2 linked regions of the Yarrowia lipolytica genome follow. The protein of the gene in region 1 interacts with the protein of each later gene in a pairwise test. Links are inferred from orthologs where the notes say so. Each region holds a gene or a part of one and is shown in the gene's direction. Other genes may lie near its edges. The genes, in order: YALI1_F27343g and YALI1_E26205g.

Region 1 (5,399 bases):
GGAAGTCACGGACTTGGAAGCCTCGTCTCGAACAATCAGTCGTCCTCCAATTCCTAGATCTCTGTCCCACCACACAGAGCTGAAAGCACCAGAGTAAGGAGCCACACCCAACAAATTATACCCATCCACAGGCTGCTTGATACTGATGGGCTTGACTCGGCCACATAGAGCATCGGTATGCGTGGCAACAACTCCGACACCGTTTCCAGGCGTCCAATTCTCACCAATTACGAATCCCATGATAGCGCTTCCGTTTCGTCGCACGTAGAACTTATTGTGTGTCGTGAGGTCCCATTCGTCTCGCTCATACAACTCCTTGTATCCAGCTGCATCAAAGTCTTGGGCCAGAAGATCGCATGCATGGTAGGCCGTGGGGGCGTTGGACATGAAGTCCATGAAACGCTCAGCTTGCTCTTTCCAAGACATGTTGTGTTGCATAATGTCGTCCATGTGTGGTGTTTATGTATCAGATATCAGCCCTGTACAGAATGAGCGCGGTAGCTTAGCTACTTGTAGTTAGTCTCAGTGACATGCAGCGATTATGTGGGGTGTTATATTGGGGGACCAATGGGGGTGTGGGAAGCGTTTGTAGGGAAGGATATACACTAGGATAAGTTACTGTTTGGCAAGTGTTTACAAAAGTAAATGATATTGTTCAGATCACCGACGAGTTTCCTCTATGGTTTGTAACGTGTCTATATACAGTAGTGGGTGGGTGGCAGCTTATACTCTCAGTGGCTGGTCAGTGTCCTAAATTCAGCCAACTCGACAGTGGCTAACATGGAAGGGCTGTGGGTGTACTTTTCGATATGCTGGAAGGTACAAGTATATCTGATTCGAATTAGTTCCGAAGTAAAGTGGGAGTGGAACAGAGTGCCCCAGATATGTTATATTCGCCTCCATTGCCAGTCAGATGGTGTTCTACTTGTTCAACATCGTTTGTTTTTTCCTGCATATACATTCATTTAATTATACAGTAACTTTCAAACTACTGTACTTGAACTACAGTATTATCTTGCGTACAACAAAAGTCATACGTAAAAAATATAACAAGAACCGTGTGTACCTGTGCAGCCGTTTGCTCTTCGAGTAAGAATTCCATCTGGTCGTTAGGCCTTCATATTGCTTTATATGATACAAGTATTGTACAAGCACTTGCAACCCGACACGTCAACTAAAACGTGTACTACGTATATGTCCTTTACGAGTACAACTACTGTACAGTATGTACTTGTAGCTGTTATACGAATGCACTGGCATTACGAAGAACAAGAGATAATAAGTGATGTCTATACATGTTTTACTGTATGGCATTGGTGCAAAGTCAATAATACAAAATATTGTATATAAAAAGTCGTATGTGACCCTCTGACAACGATTGTGTCAACTCCCACATTTCTCTCAATTTAATTCGAATTACTATGATATATTCTAGTAAATCATCCGTATATACGCAATTAAATTTAGATTCTATTTCCGATCTCGAAGTGGGACTACAGAACAAGTACAACAGAACCTAATACTCTGATTTCGTGGAACACGCGTGTTTTTTTCACTTGACACGTAGCCTACTGAATCAACTTACTTAGATGTAAAAGAGGATGATCCATAATCTAATGTACGTCCCTGGGGTCCCTCAGATCCACTAGACTGGCTCAAGCTGGTTCTTCTGCTAGCACCTTCCGTACACACCCCACATCTGACCCCTTACAACCCTATCCCACGTGTAGACGTGGTTCATGCAGCATTCACCACTAAGGTCCTTTTTGTGCTTGACGATTCGCCAAATCACCATATTGCCCAGATAAGATGATATCGCTCAACAAGAAGCTGGTGCTGCTGGTGGGAGTCATTTTCCATGTGGCCTTCATGTGGTCAATCTTCGACATCTACTTTGTGTCGCCCTTGATCCATGGCATGAAGCATCACCAGAGTACCGCTACTCCGCCTGCCAAGCGGCTGTTCCTCATTGTGGGAGACGGTCTGAGAGCCGACAAGGCCTTTGAGAAGGTGCGACATCCCACAACTGGCGAGTCCGAGTACCTGGCTCCTTTTTTGCGTTCAAAGGTCATGTCCGACGCGACTTTTGGCATCTCACACACCCGAATGCCCACAGAAAGTCGTCCTGGCCATGTGGCGCTCATTGCAGGCTTCTACGAGGACGTGAGTGCCGTCACAAAGGGATGGAAGGAAAACCCTGTGGACTTTGACTCCGTTTTCAACCAGTCCAGACACACTTACTCGCTTGGATCTCCCGATATCTTGCCCATGTTCAAGCATGGAGCCGAGGATCAATCGCGAATTGATGCTATCATGTATGGCCACGACTTTGAGGATTTCACAAAGGGTTCTATTGAGCTTGACGCGTTCGTTTTCGACCACCTGGACGAGATCTTCGATAAATCAAAGACCAACAAGACTCTGAACGACCAATTGAGATCCGACAAGACCGTCTTCTTCCTGCATCTGCTTGGAATCGACACTGCTGGTCATTCTTACCGACCCTACTCGGCTGAGTATTACGATAACATCAAGTACATTGATGAGAACATCGAGAAGTTGGTGGACAAGGTGAACAAGTTCTACAACGATGACGAACAGACCGCTTGGGTGTTTACGGCCGATCACGGCATGTCCGATTGGGGTTCACACGGTGACGGTCACCCTGATAACACTCGAACTCCTCTCATCGCTTGGGGAGCTGGAGTTAACAAGCCAATCCCCGCCTTCGAAGACAAGGGTAATCACGACGACTACTCAGAGGTCTGGGATCTGCCTGTCAAGCGAAATGACGTCAACCAGGCTGATATCGCCTCTCTTATGTCGTACCTTGTGGGTCTCAACTACCCCTCTAACTCTGTCGGAGAGCTTCCTCTGGCTTTTGTGAACGCTACTTCTGAGACCAAGGCTCTGGCTATCCGAAACAACGCTCTTGCTCTTGTGGAGCAGTACCTAGTCAAGGAAGAGCAGCAGAAGGGTTCCCAGATCATTTTCAAGCCTTACCCTCCCCTCTCTGATGCTGGAAAGACCATCGATGAGAGACTGGCCCATATCGACGAGCTGATTGCCCAGGGACTCGACCAGGAGTCGATTGTTGCCTCTGAGGAACTCATGACATATGCCATCACCGGCCTTAAGTACCTTCAGACCTACAATTGGCTGTTCCTGCGAACCCTGGTGACCATAGGCTTCTTTGGATGGATTGCTGTTGCCTTCTGCTCTTACCTGCTTGCCTTCGTGGTTCAGTCCGACAAGCCTTTTACCACGTCTCTTCCTCTCAAGGGAGTTGCCTACGTTGCCCTGGCCATTCTTTCAGGCTTCTTCGTTTTCCAGAAGTCTCCTCTCCACTACCACCTCTACGCTGTCTTTCCTGTTGTCTTCTGGGAGGCTGTCTTGCAGAGGCGAACTGCTGTTGCCGAGGGTATCTCCATTCTGGCACGACGATCTACCTCTAAGGCTCCAGCTCTTGCTGCTATTTTGGACATTGGTCTCTCTCTTGTTCTCCTTGAGGCCATTGTTTACGGGTACTTCCACCGAGAGATATTCTCTGTTTGTTTCGGACTCGCTACTCTGTGGCCCTTTGTGCACAACTTCACTGTTGCCAAGCGAGAATGGCCCACTACTCTTGCCTGGGTTGTCATGTGCGCAATCATGTCTTCCTTCACACTTCTGGAGGTCGTGAAGGTGGAGTCTATTGAGCAGATTCTGCTTTCTGGTGCCCTCATGCTGGTCATTGGACTGGTGTTCACTATTCATCTGCAGCGAAAACTTGCTCTTGCGGCCTCCACTGTTTGCGTTCTCTTTGCTCAGATCCTTCTCGTTGTTGCAACCATGTACTTCACTCGAGAGTCCGTTGAGTCTCTTACTGCTCGAAACGGTCTTCCTCTGTTTTCTCAGGTTGGAGGATGGATCTCTCTTCTTCTCTCCCTTGCAGTGCCCTTCTTACACTTCCTGGGATCTGATGCCAAGGACTACAGACTGCGTCTGCTCATCATCTTCCTGGCATTTGGACCTACCTTTGTCATCCTCACCATCTCGTGGGAGGGATTCTTCTACGTCTGTTTCTTTGCTATCCTTGTCATCTGGATTGAGCTTGAGACTCAAATGCGAGATGCCCGAGTGACACCCCAGACCCGGGCTGATCTTACTCCTGGTGACTTCCGAATGGCTTTGTTCACCTTCTTCATGTCCCAGATTGGTTTCTTCGGTATTGGAAACATTGCCTCCATTTCGTCTTTCTCTCTGGACTCTGTGTACCGATTGATTCCTGTATTTGACCCCTTCTCCATGGGTGCTCTGCTCATGTTCAAGATCTTGGTGCCGTTTGCTGTCCTATCTGCATGTCTGGGCATCTTGAACCTGAAGCTTGGAGTTCCTCCTTCGGCGCTGTTCTCCATGGTCTTGTGTGTCTCCGACATTCTGACACTCAACTTCTTCTATCTGGTTGTCGATGAGGGCTCATGGCTCGACATTGGCACTGGTATTTCACACTACTGTATCGCCAGTGGTCTCAGTCTGTTCATGATGGTGTTAGAGTACCTCTCTGGCGTTTTAGTTGCTGGAGTGACCATCGCACCGCACGTTTCCAAGATCAAGAAGGACATGTAAATAGAGTCCGGGGTTTTGGATAGCAACAAACACAAAAAATGAACACAACGTATAACAAATATATATTATTAGAGTATTGAACAGGGCCTGCCGCGTGTACTTGTGGGTACCCGTGGTGTCGTTGGTGTTCTTTATGTTCTGCCCCTTCGTTCGATGATTAAGGTTTTATTATCTCAGGACCATATTTGGAGTGTTTCGGTACAGCACTTGAATTATGTAGCCTGTACATCAGGAGATGCAGATAACCGGCTGTATGGAAAGAGAGGCACATTGAAGGTATTGTAGTCGTCAATGTGTATATATACGGGCAGTGTGTATTAAAACAAACATCTTACTTTATACTGTATATTCATACTCATATTCATCGTAGCTCCTATTACATGGTGTAACGTTACTGTACTGTCAGTCATTACTTTTTCTGTGAAGATCAGTGGCCTCTGGTGTTTTTGGCCAACAACATGATACCATTTTTTTTTTTTTTTGCATATACATTCATTTAATTATAACTTTGCCGTGATATTGGGAGTGGAAAAAGGTGGGTACAGTAGACGATAGAGCACTACTTATACAGCACGAGAGGAAGTTTTCCTGACAGTTGAGTGAAATAATGAGCTACCATAAATCAATCAATCTTGAGATTGTTTGTCTGCGATAATATACCACCACCTCTACAGCGTAGTCATAAATAAATTGCCCACCTCCAACCTCCTTCCAGCCATCGACATATATGCAATTGAGTAGTTTAATCGCCACAATCAGCTGCTTAAGGTGCAGGAAGATAAATTGCGCTC
Region 2 (3,097 bases), on another chromosome or scaffold:
AACCTTAGGTGGGAAAGAGGTAAACAGATGATTGGAAAAAGGTGGACTTAGTGTAGACATGTGTCAGTGGACATAAAATGAGGGACACAAGCTTCTTGAAAATCCTCAGCGCCTTTTGTCGTGGTGTTTTTCCACCCGGAAGCATTTCTACAAGAGCGTCAAATAGGGGGATGCAGCAAGTCCCAAGAATACAAAAATACCAACCTCATACAAGCACTTGTCCCACCCACGCACCCTTCATGCACCCTTGCACATGTCAGCCAATTGTGGTTATATATATAAGGCGGGCTATAGGCCACTTTGAGACGGTAGTGCCAGTGGGTGGCAGTCTGGTAGCGGCATTTTCCGCCCCACGGCTGATTATAGACTGCCACGGTTTCAAAAAGACTCAACATCCGCCTCTTTCGGCGTCTCTCTCGCCCGCAATATCTCTCACTGTACAGCCAGCAAACGGTATATTGATACATACAGGTAGGGCGGGTTTAGGCTGTAGGGAAAGGTGATGAGCCAGCCTCGTGCAAGGGGGGACGTGAAAAGAGCGACCTACGAAACCACCAGTTGGGATGGAAACAAACACAAAAAGCTCACTTTCAAGGACATGAGACTGCTGGGGTCGTGTACAGGAATTGCACTCCCGGCACACTAATTATAATCCCACATTCAACCCCTGACATTGACAGCTTGCAGTCTCCAGATAATTTAAATTGAAGGCTAATCCGGACCTGACAACACATGAAGTTGCACCAGTGATTGCAGAACAGAACAATGGTACTTGTACAAATACGAGTACTGGCCGAAGAGAAGTACATACGGTATATATATTGACCGATGACTTCTTAGATAGGCGAGTTAGACCACTACAAACATTGCAATATTGCAGTGTACAGTATGTATACTATACCGCGATGTGCTGTAGCTGGATACAGTACGATACCGGAACTTGTGCTGACACTTGAATTTTTCAGTCGTACTTTCAATCGTACTTTCAGTCGTACTTTCAGTCGTACTTTTAGTCGTACTCTCACTCGCACACTCGCCTCGTACAGTGTACATAGTTGTTCCGATAGCGATCATCTCTCCAAACTGATACAGAGGATCGACATGCTGCGCTGTCTGTCGGTGGTCACTATGCTTGATATACTACAAGTACCTGTAGCTATAGTGCAGTCATAATCTGACCGAGAAATGGAACGAAGCCATAGCCGAACTACAATGTAGTACCACAAGATGTGAAGCAGCAGCCAAATGAATGAACCTAGTTGGCTTTGGTGTTTTTTGGGCACCTGTTGACCCGCTTATTCATCCTTCCACCTCACTTGCCGTGCGTGTCTCTCCCAACTCGACCCCGGCACACGATCATATTACTGTATGCGCCAACGATCTTGTCTGAAGAGATGGATTAAGTTCTGTTGGAAGAGGAGGATCACGTGAATTGGGGTATAAATAGAGACCTAGACGTGTTTCGTCGGTTCGGAGGCTGTCACAACCCATCCCCCAACCCCAACCCCCCATCATATTCGTCACGTGACGGTGCGCTGCTCTCCCTCTCATTGCTATGAGTCTCCAACTGCTTCGTGGGCGCAATCAAGGTTCGGAGTTTTGAAAGGGTCTTTTCGCTTGATCTCAGATTGAGAGCCGTGCGCAGTGGACGTTATAAGGACTCTTTTCGACTGGCCCAGACCTCACTGCAAATCCACAGTCTGAACAGGGCCCCTAGCCACCCTTATATACTTTCTAGCCACCAGCTATACCGCTTTTAAGGACCACAAAGTTACCACCTACCACAACCCTGAACACGCGTAAAGTTAACACGTAACTATCACACGCTAAGTGCACTCCACCTTCCTACCTTTTCAACTCAACACATACACAGACCGAACGCCAACCATGAAATCCATCGTGAGCGTGCTGACCCTGCTGCTCCTCATCAACGCCGTGGCCGCCCTGCGGTTTGTGCTGCCTGCCAAGGACAAGAACGAGCTGCCCTTTTGTGTGCGAGACTTTGTCAAGAACGGCGAGCTCGTTGTCGTCACTGTCGAGTCTCCCAAGTACGCTGACGGCCAGCAGCTGAGCGTGGTCGTTCGAGACGCACATGGAAACGAGTACACCCGAATCAAGAATGTTCTGGGCCGAGAGATCACCACCTTTAGCTCTCATCAGGACACTGCTCTGGACGTGTGCTTCCACAACGTGGCCAACTCGCACCAGGATCTCGGAAAGACCAAGGAGATTGATCTGTCGGTCGCCATTGGAGCCAACGCCCGAGACTGGGAGCAGATCCAGGCCTCCGAAAAGCTCAAGCCCGCAGAGGTGCAGCTGCGAAAGATCGAGGAGATCGTCGATGAGGTGGACAAGGAAATGAACTACCTCAAGATGCGAGAGATCAGGCTGCGAGACACCAACGAGTCCACTAACCGACGAGTCAAGTTCTTCTCCGTCGGCATCACCTTGGCTCTCATTGCTCTCGGCGTCTGGCAGATCATCTACCTCAGATCTTACTTCCGATCCAAGCATATCATTTAAAAGGGGTTCAAATCAAAAAATTGATAATTGTTAGAATGAAAAGAGACACAATGTGACGCGCTCGAGAATGAGGACGCTTGAAAAGTGTCTGCTTGTAGTGGTCAGAAAGGACTGTTGTGTACTCGTAGAACGTGAAAGCTGATTTGGACGACAAATCGTGATCTGATGAACAATGGTTATAACGATTGTAATGGTTGCACTATATACTCACTACTTGTATGGTCATTAGGTAATTCGTATCTTTCGTTACATATAAATAAACGCTCGCCAAGAGGTCATCGCATATGCTTGCGTCTGATCTGGGTCTCTCTTCTGGACTTTTAGAGCTTCTTCAGTAACCCCTCAAATGCTTGAATATCAATCTTGCCGCCGACAGCTCCAGCCACCTCCATCATGTCTTTGAAATCCTTCTCACTGGCGTTATCTTTCACCAACTTGGCTATTCGTCGTAGATCAGCAGTGTTAATCGTGTCTGACTTTGTGAACCATGAGAACGCCAGAGGCACATCTTCTACAAAAACATTGTTCTTCTTCCTCTTCTTCTTTTTCGGTTTCTCTTCAATCGGCTCAATTA

What was found.
Region 2: the proteins of YALI1_F27343g (region 1) and YALI1_E26205g interact in a protein complementation assay, tested with the Saccharomyces cerevisiae proteins (2 studies listed by BioGRID). The link is inferred for Yarrowia lipolytica from reciprocal best matches to the Saccharomyces cerevisiae genes MCD4 and ERV25.

The regions. Positions count from the first base shown.
Region 1 is NC_090775.1:2,730,740-2,736,138, reverse strand, and holds YALI1_F27343g (uncharacterized protein), read left to right. Parts: upstream 1-1,809; coding exon 1,810-4,608; downstream 4,609-5,399. Other genes in the region: YALI1_F27356g (uncharacterized protein), read right to left, coding at 1-450. UniProt on the Saccharomyces cerevisiae protein: Ethanolamine phosphate transferase involved in glycosylphosphatidylinositol-anchor biosynthesis. Transfers ethanolamine phosphate to the first alpha-1,4-linked mannose of the glycosylphosphatidylinositol precursor of GPI-anchor.
Region 2 is NC_090774.1:2,618,683-2,621,779, forward strand, and holds YALI1_E26205g (uncharacterized protein), read left to right. Parts: upstream 1-1,887; coding exon 1,888-2,523; downstream 2,524-3,097. Other genes in the region: YALI1_E26223g (uncharacterized protein), read right to left, coding at 2,844-3,097.